Linked DNA regions of Ovis aries. The protein of the gene in region 4 purifies or fractionates together with the protein of the main gene of each other region. This does not show direct contact. Links are inferred from orthologs where the notes say so. Each region holds a gene or a part of one and is shown on either strand. Other genes may lie near its edges.

What was found.
Region 1: the proteins of NUP153 (region 4) and TNPO1 purify together in Homo sapiens (co-immunoprecipitation; 3 studies listed by BioGRID and IntAct, with this or other methods). This does not show direct contact. The link is inferred for Ovis aries from reciprocal best matches to the Homo sapiens genes NUP153 and TNPO1.
Region 2: the proteins of NUP153 (region 4) and KPNA1 purify together in Homo sapiens (affinity purification with mass spectrometry; 3 studies listed by BioGRID and IntAct, with this or other methods). This does not show direct contact. The link is inferred for Ovis aries from reciprocal best matches to the Homo sapiens genes NUP153 and KPNA1.
Region 3: the proteins of NUP153 (region 4) and NUP50 purify together in Homo sapiens (affinity purification with mass spectrometry; 8 studies listed by BioGRID and IntAct, counting the BioPlex papers as one, with this or other methods). This does not show direct contact. The link is inferred for Ovis aries from reciprocal best matches to the Homo sapiens genes NUP153 and NUP50.
Region 5: the proteins of NUP153 (region 4) and KPNA2 purify together in Homo sapiens (co-immunoprecipitation; 4 studies listed by BioGRID and IntAct, counting the BioPlex papers as one, with this or other methods). This does not show direct contact. The link is inferred for Ovis aries from reciprocal best matches to the Homo sapiens genes NUP153 and KPNA2.
Region 6: the proteins of NUP153 (region 4) and NUP133 purify together in Homo sapiens (co-immunoprecipitation; 3 studies listed by BioGRID and IntAct, with this or other methods). This does not show direct contact. The link is inferred for Ovis aries from reciprocal best matches to the Homo sapiens genes NUP153 and NUP133.

The regions. Positions count from the first base shown.
Region 1 is NC_056069.1:8,882,645-8,886,144, forward strand, and holds part of TNPO1 (transportin-1), read right to left. Parts: intron 1,907-3,500; coding exon 1,846-1,906; intron 1,004-1,845; coding exon 835-1,003; intron 1-834. UniProt on the Homo sapiens protein: Functions in nuclear protein import as nuclear transport receptor. Serves as receptor for nuclear localization signals (NLS) in cargo substrates.
Region 2 is NC_056054.1:187,775,848-187,780,132, reverse strand, and holds the start of KPNA1 (importin subunit alpha-5), read left to right. Parts: upstream 1-1,485; 5' UTR 1,486-1,552; intron 1,553-1,877; exon of another isoform or gene 1,878-2,005; intron 2,006-4,285. UniProt on the Homo sapiens protein: Functions in nuclear protein import as an adapter protein for nuclear receptor KPNB1. Binds specifically and directly to substrates containing either a simple or bipartite NLS motif.
Region 3 is NC_056056.1:221,496,523-221,500,022, forward strand, and holds part of NUP50 (nuclear pore complex protein Nup50), read left to right. Parts: intron 1-7; coding exon 8-89; intron 90-1,509; coding exon 1,510-1,628; intron 1,629-2,480; coding exon 2,481-2,683; 3' UTR 2,684-3,500. UniProt on the Homo sapiens protein: Component of the nuclear pore complex that has a direct role in nuclear protein import. Actively displaces NLSs from importin-alpha, and facilitates disassembly of the importin-alpha:beta-cargo complex and importin recycling.
Region 4 is NC_056073.1:39,060,132-39,063,631, reverse strand, and holds part of NUP153 (nuclear pore complex protein Nup153), read right to left. Parts: intron 3,249-3,500; coding exon 2,628-3,248; intron 1-2,627. UniProt on the Homo sapiens protein: Component of the nuclear pore complex (NPC), a complex required for the trafficking across the nuclear envelope. Functions as a scaffolding element in the nuclear phase of the NPC essential for normal nucleocytoplasmic transport of proteins and mRNAs.
Region 5 is NC_056064.1:48,653,715-48,657,936, reverse strand, and holds the start of KPNA2 (importin subunit alpha-1), read left to right. Parts: upstream 1-1,422; 5' UTR 1,423-1,524; intron 1,525-3,130; 5' UTR 3,131-3,153; coding exon 3,154-3,228; intron 3,229-3,377; coding exon 3,378-3,515; intron 3,516-4,222.
Region 6 is NC_056078.1:1,017,453-1,020,952, reverse strand, and holds part of NUP133 (nuclear pore complex protein Nup133), read left to right. Parts: intron 1-363; coding exon 364-467; intron 468-1,592; coding exon 1,593-1,700; intron 1,701-3,500. UniProt on the Homo sapiens protein: Involved in poly(A)+ RNA transport. Involved in nephrogenesis.

The DNA.
Region 1 (3,500 bases), on a different chromosome or scaffold from region 4:
GGATGAGAAAGGGATTTACATTATCTTAGAAATATGCATGATAATCAACCAATCCTCATGCAAATTATGACATACAAAAAAAAAAGTTACGAAAACAGGAAAAGCCACGGCCAATGTTCCTATTTCGTATGTATTTTGCATCAAACATACATTCTGCATCCAACAAAACACTTTGAGAAGGAATATCATGACAAGCAAATGAAGAACAGACCCATCAGGAAGAAACAAAACAAAGCCACAGTAAGATCATTACTTCACACCCAGAAGAAGACACTCAAAAATTACTGGCAAACATGTGGAGAACCTGTAGCCCTTAAGACACTGCTGGGGGAAAGCAAACAGCAAAGTAAGTGTGAAAAATAGTCTGGCAGTACCTCAAAATATTGAACATAAAAGTTTCCATGCGATCCAGTAATCCTATTCCTGGGTATATACCCAAGAGAACTGAAAACTTAGGACCACATACACCTTACGTTAACTGTTCAGCACGACTACTGACAGCGGCCAAAGAGGGGAAAGAAAATGTCCATCTGCTAATGAACAGATGAATCAGTCACAAAGACCACTTTTGTATGATTCCACTTATAGAAAATGTCCAGAGGAGCTCAGAATATGGGAGTGACTACTAAGTATGTAGTTTCTCTTAGGGTGACAAAAATGTTTCAAAATTTACTGAGATGATGGTTGCACAACTCTGTGAATACACGGAAAACCACTAAATTGTATTCTTTTGTATGGTTAAGTGAACTGTGTATGAGGGCACTGTAGGATGTGAGTTATTTCTCAACTAAACTGTTATCCAAGCAGGCGACTGTGCTTCTCTCTCTGACTTACTTAGATTCCAGTCAGAAATCGTGTCATCGTCATCAATTTCATCGTCGTCGTCCTCCTCCTCTTCAATTCCATCTTCATCATGCTGCTGAGCCACTGTCCTTGATCGATGAAACCGTGGCCTGATATCTTGCTCACTATCAGGAATTGTTTCATCTTCTTCAACATCACCCTGTGTATTTTTTAAAAGGAAAATTCTGGTTATATTCATATAAGTTAATAGTATGTATATGGGTAAAAGAATGAGAATATTCACAGAGAGCATGACATATGATTCTGAAATATGGCTGATGCTTGAACAGTATGGGTTTGACCTGCAGGCCAACAGATAGCGTGACATGATTCTGAAATACAGTTGATGCTTGAACAGTATGGGAGTGAACTGCATGTCCAGTTCAAACAGGATGCAGATTTCTCTCCAGTAAATGAAGTATTAGATGACTACATAATCTGTGGTTGAATTTGCAGATATGGAACCATGGACAGGAAGGGCCAACTGTGAAGTTATACAGGGATTTTTGATTGCACTGGAGGTCAGTGCCCCTAATATCCCATTGTTCAAGGGTCAGCTGTATACATCTTCTGCTTGCCCCTACGTAGAAAATAGCTCTTTGTGAAGGGGAAGAATAGGCTATCACATAACCCATGATAGATTATCAGGGATTCTGAACCACATAAGATGGTTTCCCAACATCTGGTATAATCTAGAGTATCTGAATTAAATTCAGAACATATTTTAAGATTATTTTAAAATGAACCCCAAACAGTCAGAATTAACAGGAAATTCACGCTAACTCTACTAGTGTCACCATCTAGTTAGTTTCAATTAAGCTAGAATCTACTGCCAGTCAAATTCATTATGTTTGCTTCTATCTTTAACTCCATAGCATATTACATAACAGAAAGCCTATTTAAATAGAGCCTACTCTAAATAAATGTCCTATTAGTCAAATTCAAAGATCTGTAAGTCAGTGAAAATAAACATCCTTATTCATCAGGGAATAGTTTCCTTACCTTAAGTAGGATAATGTCTATATCTGAATACTTCATGCCATTCACTAACACAGGGATCAACCTATAAAGACAGAAATTCATGAAACAAAGATCTAAAGATCTCAAGGTCTCAACAACCTCATGAATACTAATAATACCACCACTACTGTTAACACTGCCTTATAGCATATTCTATGTCTGCCCTTCTCCAATGATGAGTACTCCCAATATGCATCTTAGGCCTCTTACATACTCATGCACAGAATCTACTGGATGGAACTTTAGAGTGGACAAGACAGCTTGTCAAGAGTGCTTAATACATGAACGAACATTCCCAATTCTTAAAGACTGATGTTCCATGATGCAACACTAAGAACAATGCAAACAATCTAAATGTTCGTCAGTAAGGGCCTGGTTAAAAACAAGTTACAACTGGGAATTTCCCAGCAGTCTAGTGGTTAGAACTCTGTACGTTCACTGTAGGGGCCGGGTTTTAATTCCTGGTTGGGGAACTAAGATCCTGTAAGGACTTTATTTTTGGATGCACAGTCATGAAGAAACACATGACAGTGAAGTTGGGAAAACAAAAAACCACCAGTGCAAAATACATAAAAAGCTCATATCCATTTGTATTAAAGACAATGAGATTCCTAGCCACAGCAATCAGGTAAAAAAGGATGCATTCCTATATACCAACAGCAAAAGATCAGAAAGAGAAATTAAGGAAATAATCCCATTTACCATTACATCAAAAAGAATAATACCTAAGAATAAACCTACTCAAGGATGCGAAAGACCAGTATTCAGAAAACTATAAGATACTGATGAAAGAAATAAAAGAATGACACAGACGGAGAGTTATCCCATATTCTTTGATTAGAAGAATCACTACTGTCAAAATGACTATACCACTAAAGCTACCTACAGATTCACTGCAATCCCTATCAAATTACCAATAATATTTTCCACAGAACTAGAACAAATAATCTCATTATTTGTATGAAAACGCAAAAGACCCTGAATAGCCAGAGCAATCTTGAGAAAGAAAACAAAGTTGGAGGAATCAGGCTCCCTGACTTCAGACTATACTACAATACTACAATAATCAAAATAGTATGGTACTGGCACATAAATAGAAATATATTTCAGTCAGACAGGATAGTAAGTCCAGAGATAAGCCCATGTATCTATGGTCACCTAATCCATGACAAAGATGACAAGAATATACAATGCAGAAAAGTGTCTTCAGTTAAGTGGTGCCAGGAAAAGTGGACAGCTATACATGTAAAAGAATAAAATTAAACACTCTCTAACACTATACACAAAAATAAACAAAATGGATTAAAGACCTAAATTTAAGACCAGACACTATAAAACTCAGAGGAAAGCATAGGTAGAACACTGACATAAACTGCAGCATGATCTTTTCTGATCCACCTCCTAGAATAATGAAAATAACAAAAACAAACAAATGGGACCTAATTAAACTTTAAAATGCTTCCGTACAGCAAAGGAAACCATAAAACAAAGCACACAACAAGGACTTAATCTCTAAAACACACAAATAGCTCATGCAGCTCAAAAAAAAAAAAAAGACAAAAACAACCCAATCAAAACGTGGAAGATCTAAATAGACATTTCTCCAAAGACACACACGCGGCAAAAAGGAGCAAATG
Region 2 (4,285 bases), on a different chromosome or scaffold from region 4:
CTGTTCTCCAGGGGATCTTCCCAACCCAGGGATTGAACTAAGGTCTCCCACATTGCATACACATTCTTTACCAGCAGAGCCACCAGGGAAGCCCAGGAATACTGGAGTGGGTAGCCTATCCCTTCTCCAGCAGATCTTCCTGCCCCAGGAATCAAACAGGGGTCTCCTGCATTGCAGGAGGATTCTTTACCAACTGAGCTATCAGAGAAGCCCTGAAAAGGAAGAGTGGCCCTAGTAAATACTTCAGATTGGTCAGGACCCACATGGGATACCCCAACTAGAAGAAAGGGTGAACTGGAAAGAAACTAGTTTTCACAGACCCTAAAGTCCAGCTCTGAATAATATTAATATTAGCTCCTGATTGGAATAAAGTGATCTGTCCTTAGCTCAGTGGTGGTGAGCTAAGTCATGTCTGACTCTTTTGCAACCCCGTGGCCAAGTCTCCCCCTTAGAACACATTCCCTTTCACCAGGGCCCTTGATCGAACTCAACACATCCTAGAAAACACACTTTAGTGGGAAACACTGATGTGGCAGAAAGACATCCAGGACAAATGAACACTGCATCGTATGGTCCTCTCTCCCGCTCTAATGTTACAGAGTTATCCCATTTCTTCCACCCTGCTTCTCCGTGTGTGTTTTAGGTTGATTTGATAAACCGTTATATGTGAGACTTTATATTCTGTGACCTCTGCTTGGCTGCCTTCAGTCTTTCTTTAGAAGCCACTGCTCAAAAAGAATCCCCCAAAGAGAATTCCGTCAAATTTAACAGTAAATTATTTGCCCCAAATTTTCGTTGGAGAACATTTGTTGAGAGTAAAGCCAGCGTTCATGTTTCGTTTAATTCCTTAATGAATTCTGATACTGCTCAGTGCATTACCAGGCAAAGCGGGACGGGACAGAACCAAATATGATATAGCCCGAAGTTTTCTCAAACGTGCTGCACGTGAACGCCTGAGCCATGAGGCGCTGACTTATAACTCTTGTAAAAATCCCTCAGCCTTCATTCATTCCATCAACGTGTTCTAGTTAACAACCGTGTCAGTGGCTAGCTATAGACAGGTGAGCGAAGATCGACCTGCCGCCCTGGAAGAACTTCGAAGACAAAACATAACTTTGCAATTCAGCCTAAGAACTACCGTTTCATTGTCACTCCAGCATGACTCTCCAACCCTTGTCATTAACTGCCCACCTTCTCAATCGGACCTTCTCCCGGACTCCAGACTCTCTCCACTGGTTCCCAGCTAACCGCCAGAGCCTCCAGAGAACAAGCTGAAAGACTACATCTCCCGGCAGCCTCTGCAGCAGAGTGGTGGAGAGGAACGCGCAAGTGCGCGGCCCGGCCCCCGCGCGCAGGCGCACTGCGAACGCCGGCTGAGCTAGGTCTCGCTGTGCTGGGTGCGCGGCGGCGGAGGCGACGAGCGAGGCCTGGTGAGCACCGCGCGGCGAGAGCCGACTCTTTCGAGGTTGTGTGTAGAAGACGGACGGCAGGCGAGCGAGCGAGGCAGAGGCTCACCCCAGAAGTGGCACCGGGATCGGTTGCCTTGAACCTGGTGAGTGCGGGGCTGTGGCGGCCCCCGACCCCTCCCCCTCCCGCCGGCCGATCCGGCAGTCCTCGGCGGGACCCAGGAGAGGCCCCGCGGCGAGGGCCGGCCGCCGCCTGTGCTCGAGCTCGGGTTCCTGGGCCTGGGCACTCGCGGCGCGTCCGTGCGTCACGGGCCCGGTTGTCCTAACGGCCGCGCGGCAGGCGGAGGGGACGGTGGGGGTGGGGAGCGCTGGTGTGTTCGCCATCGGGAACGCCGGTGGAGGCGAGGCGGGGCGGGGCGGGGCGGGGTGGCGCGGCAGCCGGGCTGTAAGCGGCGCCGGGGACTGCGGGGCGCAGAGGCTGCGGGGCGGCGAGGAGGCAGCGCGGAGCCGAGCAGGCAGCGCGGAGCCAGCGCCGCGGCCCCACGCAGACGGGCGTGGGGGCGGGGGTGGGCTGCGCAGAGTGTGCGTGACTGAGCCAGGTGAGAATAGGGGATGGGGGTGTGTGTAAAAACCCTAACTGAGGCAGTAGGGAACGGTCTGGTCTCGGAAATTGTCAAGTTTCAGCCAGAGCCGGAGGTTCGGGGGAAGGGGCAGGGGAGTGGAGACGGCCGACTGCAGTTTACAGATGTCATAACAACATGGGCCTGAAGCGGCTGACAGGGGTGTGGTAATTATAGGAATGACAGAACTTAGTCTGCACACAGCGTGTGTCAGTGGTGATGCGAGAGAAGCTCAAAATGGGAGGAGAGGACTGAAGGATGACTGGAGTCCGGGAAGCCGTCATGAAGGAATGTTTTCGGTTTGAATGGAAGTATTTAATGTTCGGCTTCTAAGCAAACGATGTCAAGATAATTGATTTTTAAGGTTTAAATTCTGAATAAACAGTTTGGAAGTAATTTTTCTAAGCATACTATTAAATAACATTTCTAACTTTTCAGTCCTCTTTTCCTTTAATAAACACTTCCTTAAAAACCTGTTTCTTAACAGTAGATGAGTAAGTGATGTTTCCCTTCATGTTACTTCAAGGCTCATTATTTTTTTTTTTTTATTTTTTTTTTTTTCAAGGCTCATTATTGACATTTTCCCCTTGTTCTTGCGTTTGTAATATTTTGAAAGTAATTCACAAGCTATTCCCCTTCCATTTTAAAGATTGAAGAGATGAAATTTTAACTTCAAAGGAAAGGAAGGATGAACTCTGTTGTACTTTTACTGAAATAGTTTATTCTTTGATGGCACTGTTGTGTTTAACACGGGGTTTTCAGTTGGAGAACTTGAGAGAAGTTAAAGGGGTAACGTTTAATGAACTTTTTTCCAGATACTGTGCTAAATACTTTCTGTAGAGTAAAAGGTTTAATGCTTACAGTAACTTTGAAGTGTGTTATTTTTTTCCTTTTCTACAGATTAAAGCTTTGAGGGTTAGAGAAGTTAAGTAACTTACCTAGGTGTTGCAGCTCTTGTTAGAACAGAATCACTGACATTTTAGGAATTATTTCTCCTCTCCTTTCATACTTCTTGGTTGTGTTTTCTTTTTTTGGTCCATTCATATGCTCAGAGACTGGGGATGTGGACATGATCAAGACATTGTTCCTGTCCTCATGGAATTTGTAGTGTTGCAGAGAAGACTAATAGATAAAGACTATAAATATTGACTGCGTAAAATTTTATCGGTCATTATAATTGAGCGGGAGCTGTACTAAAAAGCAAAGGAAGTTCAAATGGAATCAAACAACGCAAGCCTTGAGTGTTTACAGTCTGGTAGAGAAGCAAAACATGCATTTATGAAAACCTAGACTAAGCTAAATGATAGAAATTAACACATCACCAGTGTACTTGCATTATGTTACTTTAGATCCTTATAGAAATTCCTTCACAGAACTGTGAATTAATATTTTGTACTTTAACTTTTATCTAGGATTGGGACATGAGAAAGGGAACATGAAAAAACTCTTCCTTGCTACCCAAGACACTGTTTATAATTTATTTACTGATCCTTATAAAGTATAAACCTTAAAGACGGGTTCTTTTAAGCCCTCAGTGACAGGCCTTTTTGATTTTTTTCTTTGCTTTACAAAAAAATTTAAACAAATGACTCTTTTTATTAGATCATTTCTATTCGTAAGCCATCCTGTTTGTCTTTATACTTTGGCTATTAGGAGGCTCAGAGCTGTGATCAGCTTTGGTAATTTTCATAATTTTCCTTTGCTTTAACTGTGTTATAAACTATACCAGATAGTCTGGAATTGCTGCTCTCAGTTGTTTCCTGGACTACTTGTTCTCTGTTGCTCTCAATTTTATTTTTACCTTTTCCCTCTCATTTGAGAGTAGGGTTTATTTATTTTATCTGCAGTATGTTAGCATAATGTTTGTTGAATTAATGATAAAGTCTTGATGGTTTATGAATTTGTTTTTAAGTCTGTCATTGTTTATAGAAGTATGTGTGCTTTGTATAAAATCAGTTAAGACTTTTGGCCATGCAAGTAAAGGTGACTGACATAAAGATAATTCCCTGTTAGATAAAGATAATTCCCTGTTACTCTCTTTAAGGTTTCTGTATTTTGCAGGGTATTCTGAATTCAGCCATAATAATGGAAGAAAACATTGAAAATGGTAAACAATTCAATTAGCTGATTGGAGCTGATTTCACTCTATTCTTGCTGCAGTAAGCAGGAGGTGGCCCCAAGCCAGCTGGGAGCCAGATAGGACCTTCATTAGAAAATTTTTAAGTCTTTGCAGTGACAGAGCAGGAATGAAGACTGATG
Region 3 (3,500 bases), on a different chromosome or scaffold from region 4:
ACAAAAGGTGGAGATGAAGAAGAGAATGACGAGCCACCAAAAGTAGTAGTTACTGAAGTAAAAGAAGACGATGCTTTTTACTCCAAAAAGTAAGTAGTAGTCACAGCAACCCGCTTGATGAATTTATTTTCAGAGACGTGGAAACAAGCTTCTGGCTGGAGCGCATGGGCAACATCATTCCTGCTGAGTTTACCAGGCACCCCTCCTGGGGTCAGGCTGTGCCTGCTCCCAGAATTGGGACAAAGGAAGAATTCTGGGCCTGTTTATTTAAAAATAATATGATCTTTAAATTTCCTGCTGGGCGAAGCCTGCTCTTTTATGTTAGTTTAGCTCTTTCAGCTTTTCAGGTGCTTTAGAAATTCTTTTCTGTCCTCATCTCTTACCTCATCGTTCTCTCCCTTTTTCTCCTTCCCTTCTTCCCTTCCTTTCCCTGCAGAGATAGTCATCTAAGTCAGTGATTCTAGATTTGGCTTTACTTTACTCTGTCTTCCCCCAGGGATGCAAGCTGGTTTGTCGTGTAGGGGGATTTTGTTTAATGCGAGTTGCTGCTTTCAGAAAAAGGCTGAAGGGAAATTTTTGGTTATCTCTCAGTGAAATGAAATTAGTGCTTTTTAACAAAGATTTTACTGAAAAACATTTGTGCCCTTAAAGCTTCCCTTGGATATGTTTTTCTAATACAAAAATTTCAGACTTAGTAAGTCAGCAGTTTTCATAGTATAAATCACCAAATCCCATTGGATTTCAAATGTTTATTTTTGAGAACTTTTAAAAAGAGACCAATTCCTTTTGCCTGTTTTAAAATAATTACACTGATGGTATAAGGGAATGACCCTGACTAAGGGCATTTTTTGCTTGTTTTGAATGAGGTTTTTTTGGTTTTTGTTTTGCCACTCCTCAAGGCTTGTGGGATCTTAATTTCCTGACCAGGGATTGAACTCTGGCCCCAGCAGTGGAAGTGCCGAGTCCTAACCACTGGACCACAGAGACTCTAACCCAAGGTTTTTTTCTAGTCATAGTGAATCAAAGGAACAGGCAGTGGTTTTGACTTGTTTAATAATGACCAATGGAGATGAAAGAGTCCTGAAGAAAATTCAAAAATAAGAACTAGGGAAAAGGTGAGGGGGAGGGGCAGAGTGTTTGTCCTGTATGTCCCTGTTCTTTAAGCACCAGGGGCAGCTCTTGAGCTCAGGACCAATACATCCAGGAGCTGTAAGGTGCTTGGCAGTGATTTTTGCCTGACCTGAGAAAGGATAGTTTCAGAAACCATTGTGAAGAATTGTATCAGGCCTGCTGTGTAATAGTGAGAAAAAAGGTGGGACTGTAGGCTGTCTCATCAGACTCTTACCTGCCTTGTGTGCAGACCTGATTTGGGTCAACAGAAGACTACCCAGCTCCCTCTGCTGTATTTGCTAACTGGCTTCCACACAGGCATGAGCAGGGGCTGTTGGAAAATCGTGTGGCTTTCGTGACATGTCACTGAGTGATCATGTCGATTATTTTTCTCCTTAGGTGTAAACTGTTTTACAAGAAAGAAAATGAATTTAAAGAGAAGGGTGTGGGCACTCTGCATTTAAAACCTACAGCGAATCAGAAGACACAGCTGTTAGTGCGGGCAGACACCAATTTAGGTGAGTGGCTTTTTCTTCAGGTGGCACAAAATAATCATAATTACACGGTACATAGAAGCTCTCTTCCTTGCTGATTTTAGTCTTCAAGATTTTCAAGTATGTTGATGTGTGTTTTGGAATAGAATAGAGATTGTTCAGGACAAATTCATCCTGTATGACACATTACTTACAGATTTATTTGAATGCTGGGGTGATAGTGCAGAAGGAAAACTCGATGTATTAGAAAGCTGCTGCCAAGGAAGTAACAAAATGTTTTCATTTTCCTTTGTGCTAGAACTGTGACTAAGAAACTGTAGGTAAATTGGACGGTTTAGTTAACTCTCCAGGAGAATTAACCTTGTAAAGAGATCCTTTTTATGTAGCAAAAAATCATTAACTCGTTGTTGTCCACCCTCCAGCTTTACCATTAACAGTCCTCTGAAAGGAGGGGGTAGTGCCCGGGTGGGGGTTCTGAGGGGAAGTGGTCGGGGTTGCCAGGCGACACCAGACTGTGTTCCTGAAACAGACTCCTGTGAAGCTCCTTTCTTTCATGTGGGCTCAGCTGACCTGTGGTGCAGTCACAGTGCGCTCACTCTTGCCTGTGAGCGTGCTGCCCCCTGTGACAGAGCCATTTCCCAGCTGACCACTCTTTGGGGAGAAGGCCTCGGTGGGGCCGAGTCCACGTCCTGCCAGAAGCCCCGTGCTCCTCTCTTGGGGACCCCATACTGTCAGGGAACCAGGCCCTTTTTGTGACGTTCCTGTGGCTCCGTGTTAAGTATGCATTGCATGATTGTTTAATGTTTAGCCTATTAAAGGTGTAGTCTCATGGAAAGTAGTTTATTTTGATGCATTTTTCCCTTTGTTTCAATGCAGGCAACATACTGCTCAACATCCTGATTGCACCCAGCATGCCATGCACCCGCACAGGGAAGAACAACGTGCTCGTCGTCTGCGTTCCGAACCCGCCCGTCGATGAGAAGAACGCCGCCACCCCCGTCCCCATGTTGATCCGGGTGAAGACAAGCGAGGACGCGGATGAGCTGCACAGAATCCTGCTGGAGAAGAAGGGTGCCTGAGCATGCCCACCGAGGAGTGGCTGCCACGCTGCTGCTTCCCCTAGCGCCCCTGAGCTTAGTCAGTTTTCTTCTCTTCTTACTTTGACGTTCTAGGACTTAGAGATAACTTAAAACTTTTGTGGGGAACATTAATATTAAAAGGCCAATAAAACCTTCAATGTTAAGTGTTAAGAAACTGCATTCTCCCTTCTTAAGAACTGTCTAATGTGTAAAATACATTTGAAAGAAAAATTTTGGAAGATTTTTAACATTCATTTATTAAACTAACCACAAGTGATTTCTTAATGGACTGAAATCAGGGTATCGATTAGATTTCCCAAAGGCTTTTCTGATCCAGGGCTTGGGGTCTGCTGCCAGCATCTGCGCAGCCGCTCGTCCTCCAGTGAGCGTGGCTGCTGTGGGGTGGACCTGCTGCCGCGCTGTGGCCGAGGTGCTCCCCTGTGCTTTGTCATGTTACTTTACAGCTGGAACGTTTGCCTTCAGCAGTGGAGTCCTCAGCCGTTTTCGTGTGGACGCTGGCCTCTAACCCTACAGGCTGCTTTACTAGGATTCCAGAGCTGCTTTTTCATTTTAAGAGGAAATGAGTAGCTTGTTGTTTGGTTTTGTAGGTTCCTTCATGAGGTGCTCTTACTTCTGTATCCCCCTAGAGACGAAAGAGATGGGGGGCTTGCCAGGAAAGAGGTTGAAAAGCACAAATTTGGTAGTTTGTAGACCACAGACAGTGGTCACAACCCTTATAGAAAAAAGGGTTAAACCGTACAACAAAAGGGAAAGAATATGCTCTTAGTTAATTGTACCGTGATGAACCCTATGGATC
Region 4 (3,500 bases):
AGACATCTCAGATTTCTTTTAGTCTTATAAATGAGCAACTCACACTCACCTTGCTCACTGTTGAGTGTCCTCTTAACCCCAAGGTTGAATAGCCATGTTTTGTTTTGTTTTTTAAACTGATGCTCACAGATCAGGGCATAAAAGACTAAATTTTCCTTAATAATGTTTGTCAAATTTTGTTAAGCATCACAGATTATAAAATATAAGTTATAAATCGTAGGGAAGAGCCTAACACATAAAATACACAGTCATGGCCATATTAATTTCAAGATTCCAAAGCACAGATCTCTGACTCTGAAATGACCATTTCTGCACAGAAGTGTTGCAACTCAAGTAGACGTGACCTACTATGTTCAAGGCATTTCGGTTAAAACGCAGCCATTTAACAGACATTGATTAAGCACTGTAATGTTCTTAGGTTCTGGGAATATTAAGATGAGTAAAGTGTCGATTCTAAAGGTGCTTCTGGTCTAAAAAGGGGAAAGTAAAACAAACATAAATGCATAGTACCACCATCGCCAAGATGGAATGACAAACGATCTAAATAAGCGCACAGAGAAGACACTACTACGAGACAGGAGGATTCACAGAGGTCCTATTTACACTTTTAAGCAGACGTAGCAATTTCGTGAGGAGAGGCAGCAGCATAGGAGGGACGGCTCAGTAAGGCGCAGCTGCGTGAAGAAATGCAGGGTTGCAAGTAAAGCCATTCGCTCTGGAAGCCCCACTTCTCTCAACGTCCTCCGGCTGTTGTCACTTCTCCCAGTTACCTGCTCTGTGGTTTTTATCGTTATGTTCTCTTCCACTTTGCCAATAAAATCCTACCGTCTTTGGTCCACTGCCCTCTCACAAGGTCTCATCTACCCTGATGATTTTAATCACCAACAAAATCTTTCCCATTAGCACCCAAGACCCATACTTCCGGGCGTCAGTGCTGTACTACCTCTTTGATGGGCGTTCCACTACGCACCTGGCTGGCCTGGGGAGAAGACAACTCCTCCTGATGTATCTCTGCAATCTGTTTCATTCCTTCCTCGGACCCTTCTGCTGCTCTTCTAGTGGACAGCCTTATTGAGACTTCTGGTTTGGTTCCCTTGAAACCCATCCTCGTAAGAAGCAACCAGTATTACATGGTTCTTGTTTGGTTCTTGTCTTTCCTCTCAATTAACTGTTTCAAAGTTCTATTCTTGCTACTCTCTTAAGCTAAGCAGAATTCAGTTTTAGGCTATCCTCTCTGTTTGCTCCACTCACTCACCTTACATCACCTCTTCTCTCATCATTTATTTGAAAATTATGAGTGAATGATTCCCAAATCTGTGTCTCCAGTCCAGAGTGTCTATAATCAGTTTTATATCTTAAAAAGTCTTCTCACACATATCTGTCAACTTCAGCAGCTTGAACTTAATGTATCTTCAACTCAATACATTATTCTATCCCCCTCCATTTGATTTCATTAGTACATATCACCACTATCTCTATCCATATTATTGATCAACTTCCTAATCTGTGCTCTGGTCTCCAAATTTTGTTGCCTTCAAATCCATCCTCCAAAAAGCCACCAGATGATTGAACAAAAGTACAAGTTTGACCCATCAACTCAATTAATTTTGCTCTCAGACATCCATCAACAGCTTTTTTTGTTAAAGGGACAATGAGGATGACAGATGGGAAGAGAAAGATATTTCAGAATAAAGACTCTGAAATCTTACTCCTGTAGAGATGTCTAGCAGGAATCAAGAAATACAGCACACCCCTTGTGTTAGGATAGGGTTCTAGGCTATGAAGAGCTTTTCACTGTAGACACAAAACCACGCATCCATCAATAATGCAATAAGAATAGGAAGTATAATTCCCAGGACACTTATAACATGTTTTATTTAGTATCTATGTTACCATGTATCTGTACCAAAGAATTATATAATAGCATTACAAAAACATCAAAGAGTCAAATGAATTAATTCCAAATGAATTAAAGATCAGTGTAAATCTTCAGTAACTCTTTCAAAATTGAACAGAGAAACAGGAAAAATTCAACTCTAGCTCCATTTTTCTGTCTGCCCAATAGTACTTTTTCATTAACGATTTAATAATTTATGATCATTGCAGGGTCTCTGGCAGATAGCACATACAGGTATAGGTATCATCATTAGTGCTCAGCCACACTCTTCTGATAACACAATACTGTCTACTCCTTAATGAAACTAGCTGTGGAAATGACCGCTAGCCATCCTCACTTCCTCTTTGAGAAAAAGAGACAGAGTAGTATTTTATTCTGTGTAAAGGTCTGAGAAAGAGTGCTCCGTTCTAAGACCTTTGCATCTGTATCAGCCAACTTTGAATAGATCACGAAGAGCCAGAAGTTTCTAATAAAAGTGCACACAAAGAAGAGGTCAAAGCAAATGCTGGACTGATTAACACACAACCTAGGTTAAGAGAACGTGCAGTGTCAGTTCCAGGCAAGTCATTTTCATCTCAAGACAGTTTGGAAAATTATTGACACAGGAGGAAATGCTTGTCCTGAAACATCTAAAATACTGAGGTTTGTTCTTCGCTGGTTTACAGAGAATAGAATTAAAATGTTCTATTAAAGTAATGAACAAAATTATTCCAAACAGCCATAAACGTACCTGGTTTCTCAGACATACAGGACACACACTTATTGTCTTCTGCATTATTAGAAACACAGCACACTGGACACTCCCAAGATCCCACGGGCCTTTTGAATTTATCTGCAAATCCTAAGGCACCAGTGGTCACAGTGCAGCTGGAGGAGGAAGCAGCCACAGTTACAGCGCTTTCTGAAGCCGCTGGCAACGTAAGGACTCGCTTAACACCAGTTCCCGGTTTCGGTGTTTCACAAGCTACACATTTTATCGCTTCAGGTTTATTCTGCACTAAACAGGTATCACAATCCCAAGTTCCTACTGCTGGTTTAAATTTGTCTCCGAAGCCTGTCGTCCCTGGTGTGGAAACAGTCAGTTTGCCGCTTTTACTTGGTGTCCCGGTTGCAGTCTGTTTAGCAGAATCTTTTGGTAGCAATTTTGTTGTTTGGCAGGCTACGCATTTGTTGTCTGTGACTTTGTTCTGGAGTAGACAAGTATCACACTGCCATGACGACCCAGCTTTTAAACCTTCCCCAAACCCAGTTCCACTAGAAGAAAAGCTGCTTATTGCTGGTCTTGTGTGAACTACCGGGCTTGTGGTGGCAGGTTGAGCAGCAAGAGAATCTGCCTTCGGTGATGCAAAACCTACAACCGGGGGGAAGAGGTGGGTGGGAGGGGAAAAATTAGTTAATGTTTTGATTAGAATGTCTCCCTGTTTACTGTTAATAAATATTAATAACATTAATTAATATTGGGCTGGACAAAAAGTTCATTTGGGTTTTTTCCGTAAGATCTTACAGAAAAACCCAAAACAAACTTTTCAGCCAACCCAATAATGTGATATGCTTATAGCTGTTAGTAATATTATTCCTGGGAGAAAACATTTTTTACCTTAAT
Region 5 (4,222 bases), on a different chromosome or scaffold from region 4:
TGGATTTCCAGGATTCACATCTCTCAGTTGAGAACAGAGCCTGCTTTCCTACCTCTCATCATTAAACAAAAGGTATCCGGCTTCTCAACTGAATGAATTTAGGTCACATGACTGCCCCTGAACCATTCACAGTAGCCTGGAGAATACCATGTAGTGACTGGTTTAGAGGTGAAATCCCACAACCTTGTGCATTTAGGGGGGGTAAGATTATCCTGATTGGTTATGTGGAAGTAGAAGGAACCTCCATGACTCTCATTACTGTTACACAATGAGTGAGGCTGGCAAAAATGCCTGCAGGAGGGACAAAGTTCATTGTTTGAATCATAGTAAAAAAAGAAAAAGCCAATACAGCTTTTCTTAAAAATACCCTTCTCAGGATACAGAAAAGCTGCGAAAAGAAAGTGGACCATAATCCTGAGGTTCTGATGACTATCACTGAAGCTTTTTTTAAATTACAAGAAAATGCAAACATTTTATTTGAAATATATAAAATATAGCATAGATCATTACTATAACAATTGATGATCTGAACACAGAATAAATAATCGCATATAAGTTCAATTGTCTTGAATTTGATGATTATGGTGTGGTAATATAACAGAATGTCCTTATTCTTACAACATACAAGCTGAAATATTTAGGGGTAAACGGACAAGATTTCTCAAACTTACTCTCAAATGGTTCAAAAAGTAATATGTAAAAGCCATGTATATATAAATAGAGGTACACGTGCATGTGTGTATACATATATATATACATACACATCAAAATAGTAAATTAACATTTAACAAATATGGATAAAGATTTGCAGTTCTTTTGTATTTCAAATTATTAAAAATAAGACTGGAGAAGCAGGCATTAATAAAGCTTTTGTTAACATAGTTCTGCCTTCTATGCAGTCTTTTATGACACAAGTTAAAAACAGTAACTAACAAATGCAGCACATATCTGCCTTATCCCTCCCCTGCTTGATGTCCAGAGACCCCGGCAAAGTTCTTTCTGAGTCCCATCGGGAAAAATGCATAGCAATATATTTCTTTATTAAGATTTTTAAAGAGAATTATTTTGGGAATCATTTGTGGTACTTAGTTAAGGCAAACACTCAGGAAAACGACCAGCCACCACACCGCGGTAAACCCATGCAAAGAGCTGACCCTCCGACCAAGATGGACAGGGAACCGGCCCTGCGCGCTGCATGCCGGGATCTGGAGTTTTTCTTCTCCGCACTGCAAGGCTCTCAGGGATCGCGCGGCCGCTCCCTTATCTCGCGATGCTATCCTATCTACTTCTGGGCCCTCTGACCCCTCCCCAGCTAACGTGTTTTTCAAATCCACCAATGGGCGTATAGCGTAAGCTCGAACCAGCCAATCGGAATGCGGAGCCACCGGGAAATTTAAATCGCGCCGGCCGGCTGCACGAGCCACACCGTCCTCGGGCTGACCGTGGTAGACGTTTGGAGGCAGTAGATCCCGCAGCTTGTGCGCCGCGCACAGCCTCCGGTGGACGCTTGAGCTTGCTGTGTAGGTAACGAACTGAGGTCGCAGTGCAGGTGGAGCGACAAAGGCTGGTCCTTAGGCCGCTCTTGGATTGCTGGAGGCGGGAGGGGAGTCCCGGGGTAGACGCCCGGCCAGGCTTCGGCCTCTCTGGTCGATGAGGCCTTGGGGGCGTAGTTCGTTGACGAAACGGGTGTTTCACTGTGGATGCGAGTGCATGGGCTTTAGTGCCCGAGGCCTTGCGAACCGCTGCAATCGCCTTTGAGTAAGAATTATTAGAGTCAGGCCCGAGAACGAAAGCCTCGGTAGGGGGCCCGACGCCTCTGGCTCCTCCTCCGCGGGTTCCCGCTGCTGCTTCCCCGAAATGGGGGTGGGGAAGGGGGTAGGGGAGGGGACTGCAGATGGAGGTGGCAGTTGGAAGTGCTATCTCTTAATTTGTAGGCCCTGGGTTGGCTGTGTCACGATTTCGTAAAAGAACAGAATGGAATTAAAGATAGCCACTTTGAAGGAGGACTTTTGTGATTTTTTTGGGAGATTGCTCTTAAGTAGGTGAGTTTGAGTGGAACGCAGCTGATAGAGCCTAATTTAGTGCATTCACTCAGAATTTCTGGAAATGAAAACGTGCGAGATGCTGAACTGCGTCGCAGGTGTTCAGGGTGGGCAGGAAATTTTATGAAAGTTTACATAATGTTAACGACGAATCAGATTTTTAAATATTTTCAAACGTGCAGAATGTATCTGTTTGGGCCGTTTAAAGCCAGTAGAGCCTCGGAGAAGGCAATGGCACCCCACTTCAGTACTCCTGCCTGGAAAATACCATGGACGGAGTAGCCTGGTGGGCTGCAGTCCATGGGGTCGCTGAGAGTCGGACATGACTGGGCGACTTCACTTTCACTTTCATGCATTGGAGAAGGAAATGGCAACCCACTCCAGTGTTCTTGCCTGGAGAATCGCAGGGACGGGGGAGCCTGGTGGGCTGCCGTCTATGGGGTCGCACAGAATCGGACACGACTGAAGCGACCTAGCAGCAGCAGCAGAGCCTCCAGATCTGAATTTGTGGCCCGTACGACATAGATTTTAACTGTAACCTTATATCCCGTACGTTGTCTTCAGTTAACTATTCATGGATCCTATATAGAGTCTAGAGCCATGCTGTGCAGTGTGATAGTCACCAAAGGCGTGTGGCTAGTCTAAACTGAGTTAATGCTGTAAGCTTAAAGTACCTGCAAGATCTCGAAGAATTAGTATGAAAAAAGAATGCAAAATAGTTCAGTAATTTTTTTGATGTAATGTGTTGAAGTGAGAAAATAGATATTGGAGTAAATAAAATATATTATTGAAGTTAATTTCATTTGTTCCTTTTTGCTTTTAACAATCGTGGCTACTAGGAAGCTTAAATTTATACAGCTTGCATTATATTTCTGATGGACAGCACTGCTCCTGGAAGCCTCAGCCCTTCAGAGGGGAGGGGCCAAATATAATTTGGCCAAAACTCATGTTCCATAGTGCTGAAAAAGGAAGTTCCTCCTCTAGTATGGAAATACGGATTGAACGTGTATTTGATAATTCCCTTAATGCTATGTTATTGCCAAACAAAGTGATAAAAAGGAAATTTTTTTCTCTCCCCTATCTTGCAGCTTTCTCCCTTTGTCTCATAATCATGTCCACCAATGAGAATGCTAATTCACCAGCTCCCCGCCTTCACAGATTCAAGAACAAGGGGAAAGACAGTACAGTGAGTACCTTCTGTTGTTTTTCTAGTATTTTTTAAATGGTAAGGTATTTGGAAAGAGCGTCCACACTTTGAGTGAATTTAAAAAGTTGTCTTCACTTGGCACCTAACACTGATGTAATAGGTGAGATGATACGTTATCTTTTCTCAAGGAAATGAGGCGGCGCCGAATAGAAGTGAATGTGGAGCTAAGGAAAGCTAAGAAGGATGACCAGATGCTGAAAAGGAGAAATGTCAGCTCTTTTCCTGATGATGCTACTTCTCCACTGCAGGAAAACCGCAACAACCAGGTGAGGATATTTTAGTTTATGAGTTATGGTAAACCCAGAAAATCAATATGAGGCCTTTCTGAGATATTTAAATAACATGTCTTAGCTTTGTGGGTTTTAACTATCAAATGTGAAGATCTGTCTTTGTGTGCTCCTGTTCAGTAATTCTGATGGATTATCTTCCCCCCGCCCATCCTCTGTAATCTGTGGAAGCTGATTCCAAGGTTGTCTTTAGCTCTGATCTCCCCTTCAAGTTTCCCTGCTTTTCCAGTTGCCAGCTTTTACTTTGAGTTGGCCATTCAAGTGTTCAGTGAAAGTATGTCCAGAACCAACTTTTTTTTTTTCCTGCCTTTTTTTTTCTTTCTCTCCCTTTCCCTTCCTCCCTCCCTCTCTTTTTTTTGTAGTTGTCACCAGCTTTTTTCAGGTCTTTTTCCTCAGCTGTCTCTTGATTTTCTTTCTGTGCCACTTACTGTTTACCTAAAAGTTTTCTTAAAATACTGCTTAAAACATCTTAGAAATTTTATGATTCTAAATCCTTTTTAAAAGGTTTTTTGGAAATTAGACCCATCCTAGAGTTCTACTCATGGAGACTTCGTGATTTTATCAGAAGTCAGGGAAAGTTGCTCAGTTGTGTCCAACTCTTTGCGACCGCATGGACGATACAGTCCATGGAAGCCAGAATACTCTAGTGGGTAGTCATGCTCTTCTCCGGGGATCTTCCCAACCCA
Region 6 (3,500 bases), on a different chromosome or scaffold from region 4:
TTATGTATTTAATGAGGGGGTTTATTATTTGTGTTGCTTTATCAAAATAAAATTATGAATTTTACTAAATATTATAAAAAGTAAGATAAATTTATAACAAAAAAGAAATATTAAACCTAAGACCAGAACATAGTTTTTACCTTTCAATATATTTATAAGAGTGGTTGTCAAACCACTCTTACTTTAGATATTAATAACTCTTGAATTATTCAAGAGTATTTTTTGTTGTGAGTTAATCTTGTGTGTGTGGTGGTTACTGTTTTGAGTGAAGAGTATGGCAGTAAGAAAGATTTTGGTATGAGAAATTTTTGCAGTTTTAATTCATACTGTAAGATTAATTATGTACTTTGTTTTTTTCTTCAGTTGATGATCAGCTGACTGTTCACATAGATGAAGGTGGATGGGCTTGTCTGGTCTGCAAAGAGAAACTCATTATTTGGAAGATTGCTCTGTCACCTATCACTAAGGTAATGATTCTTTAAAGAGCTGGAGGGGGAGAGAGGAGAAAATTCCTAATTGGCTCTGAATTTTTACCCTAACTTTTTAGAGTTGTTGGAAATCTGTAATTTGAATCGACTCAAGCATTATAGATTGCATTTTTATAGTAATATGAAATACCAAGCATGCATACACATTTGTGTATTGGGAAAAAAGTCTCTCTCCTTATCATGATTTTAAACAAGATATACTTTATTTACATTTAATAAAGTTAAAGACATTGACATTTTTAATGAGTGTCTTGCTAGTCACTCTGCAGTGAAGTCTAAGACTAAATGCCATCCACAGAAACTAATGAACCGAGTTCCTAAGAGGACAGGAGCGTGTTGCACTGAATCTACTGAATCACGTGTAAGAAATAGGAGAGAATTATACCAAGTTTTATAATGCTGTTTAACTCTTCATTGTCAGCTTTTCACACGGGGGCTCTCGTTTGTATGTTCACTGCTGGACTCTCAGCAGCCTCTTTCTGTCCACTCCAGATCAGGCATGCTCTCTTGCAGTACTCATGCTCACGGGGCCTCTGTTCCACTGGGACTCAGGCTCCAACTTACCTAAACTCTTCGTGTGTACTGGTCTCTGTACACCTGCTGTCTAGAAAACCATGTTTGTAGTTAGGAGCATAGGTGAGGGAGAGGTCCTGCAGTGGCATCCTGAGTTAGCAGAGGAAGCCTGATATTGGCTGAGTCTCAGAAATATTTTCTAGGCAACTTTGAATACTTACTCTAGTCATGCCAATTTTAAATGTCAACTCAACAAACCAAGATTAGACTGGGAAAATTCCATAGGAAGTCTACACAGTTCTTTCAACAATGGACTTTTTTTTGGTCTGGGAAGAGATTGGAGTAGTTTCTGTTAAGGGTCTGGTCTAGCTGTTAAGTTTTCCTGACTCTCTATCTCTTAAAATATTTTGTTTTAAAATTAGTGAAAATGACGATGGAAGCCTGATCAAAAAGATGTAAGAAGAAAGTATTTCTAGAATAGTATTTCTAGCAGTGAATTAGAATCTAAAGTATGCAGAGAAAGTGAAGTCAGGTGCATGTTCAAAAATTGGATTTGAAATGAGAAATTTTTTGTTTGGATTTGTTTTATAGTTATCTGTTTGCAAAGAACTTCAGCTGCCACCTAGTGATTTCCACTGGAGTGCCAACTTGGTGGCTCTCTCTTATTCTGCTACCTCAGGCGAAGCACATTCTACTCAGGTGGGTGACTTAAGTGCTTACTGAAGTAGATTTTTTTTAAGATAAGGGAGTTCTGAAGTTGGGGGAATCACCCAGTTGGGTTTTGAAACATAGCTGTAAAGCCGCAGAAATCAAGACAGAATGGTCATGGCAGAGGTAGACGCACGGGGCAGTGGACCAGAGCAGTGTACACATACGCCCCACACAGAGATGGTGCACGGATCTTCAACAGGGGTGCAGAAGAAATTCAGTGAAGCGAGGATGGTCTTCTCAATAAATGGTGTTGGAATCATTGACCATCTTTGGGAAGAAAAAAAAATTCCTCCTAAACCTCATGTAAAGATGAACCCCAAATGGATCATAGGTCTAAATGTAAATTGTAAAACTAAAAACTTTTAGAAGAAAACAGGAAAAAAATCATCATGACATGGGGTTAGTTGAAGAGTTCTTAGAAATCACCAAAAATGTGACTCATAAAAGAAGAAAAATCGATAAACTGGACTTAATCAAAATTTGAAACTTGGCTTTGCCAAGTCTTAGTTGCCCTGAGAAGAAAATGAAGACAGAGCTACAGATTGGTAGGAAATACTATAAATCAAATGTCCAATAAAGGACTTGTACCCAGAACATAAAATGAACTCTCAAAACTTGGTAAGAAAACAAACAACCCAGTTTAAAAAGTAAGGCATAGGACTTGAACACTTTACCAAAGAGAATATAAGGATGTCACATAAGCGGTGAAGAGACATTCACATCGTTAGCCGTTAGGGGGATGCAAGTAAAACAGTGAGATACCAGGTCACTCTTATCACAGTGGCTGCAGTTAAAAGCACTGACTGCAACGGCTGGTAAGGATGTGGAGCAGCTGGAACCTCGTACGTTGCTGACAGGCATGCAGAATGGTGCAGCCACTGATTCTCACTTTCTTAGAAAGTTAAAGTGCCCTTGACATATGACCCAACAGTTCCATTCCTGGCTGTTTATTTTAGAGAAATTAAAGCTTTTGTTCACACACAAAACAGTACACTAATGTCATAGCACCTTTATTTCTGATAGCCAAAGGTGAAAACAATCTGAATATCCTTTAGCAAGTGAACGGATAAATAAACTGATTCTTTCATAGGATGAGATACTGCTCAGCAGTAAAAAGACATGAGCTGTTGATCCATGAAACAGCATCGGTGAATCTCAGAGGCATTGTGCTAAATGAGATAAACCATTGTCGAAAGGTTCTGTTCTATATGATTCCGTTTGTTTGGCGTTCTCAGAAAGACAGAACTATAATGATGGAAATGGGGATTGCCAGGGGGGAGGGGAGGGGAGGCTGTGACCAAAGGGAAAGCGTTATGGGGCTTTGGTGCTGATGGACTCTCCTATATCCTGTTTGTGGTGGGACTTACAGGAGTCTAGAAGTGAAAGTTTTAGTCAGTTAGTCATGTCTGACTCTCTGTGACCCCATGGACTGTAGCCACCGGGCTCCTCTGTCCATGGAATTCTCCAGGCAAGAATACTGCAGTGGGTTGCCATTCCCTTCTCCAGGGGATCTTCCCAACCCAGGGATTGAACTTGGGTCTCCCACATTGCAGGTAGATCCTTTACCATCTGACCCACCGTGCGTTTCAAAATTCATAGGACTGTAAAAAGCGAAACATTTTGTACGATCTGAAGAGAAGCCAGAGTATAAAAGTTCATAGAATTATTAAACAGGAGGAGAAAATGTCAGTTTTACTGTATGATGATTCTTTAAATATGGAAAAAAAGAATTTTCCCCCTGATTTCTGTTCATGAGTAATGCATTGCCCTGGTTTCTGTATGTCAGTG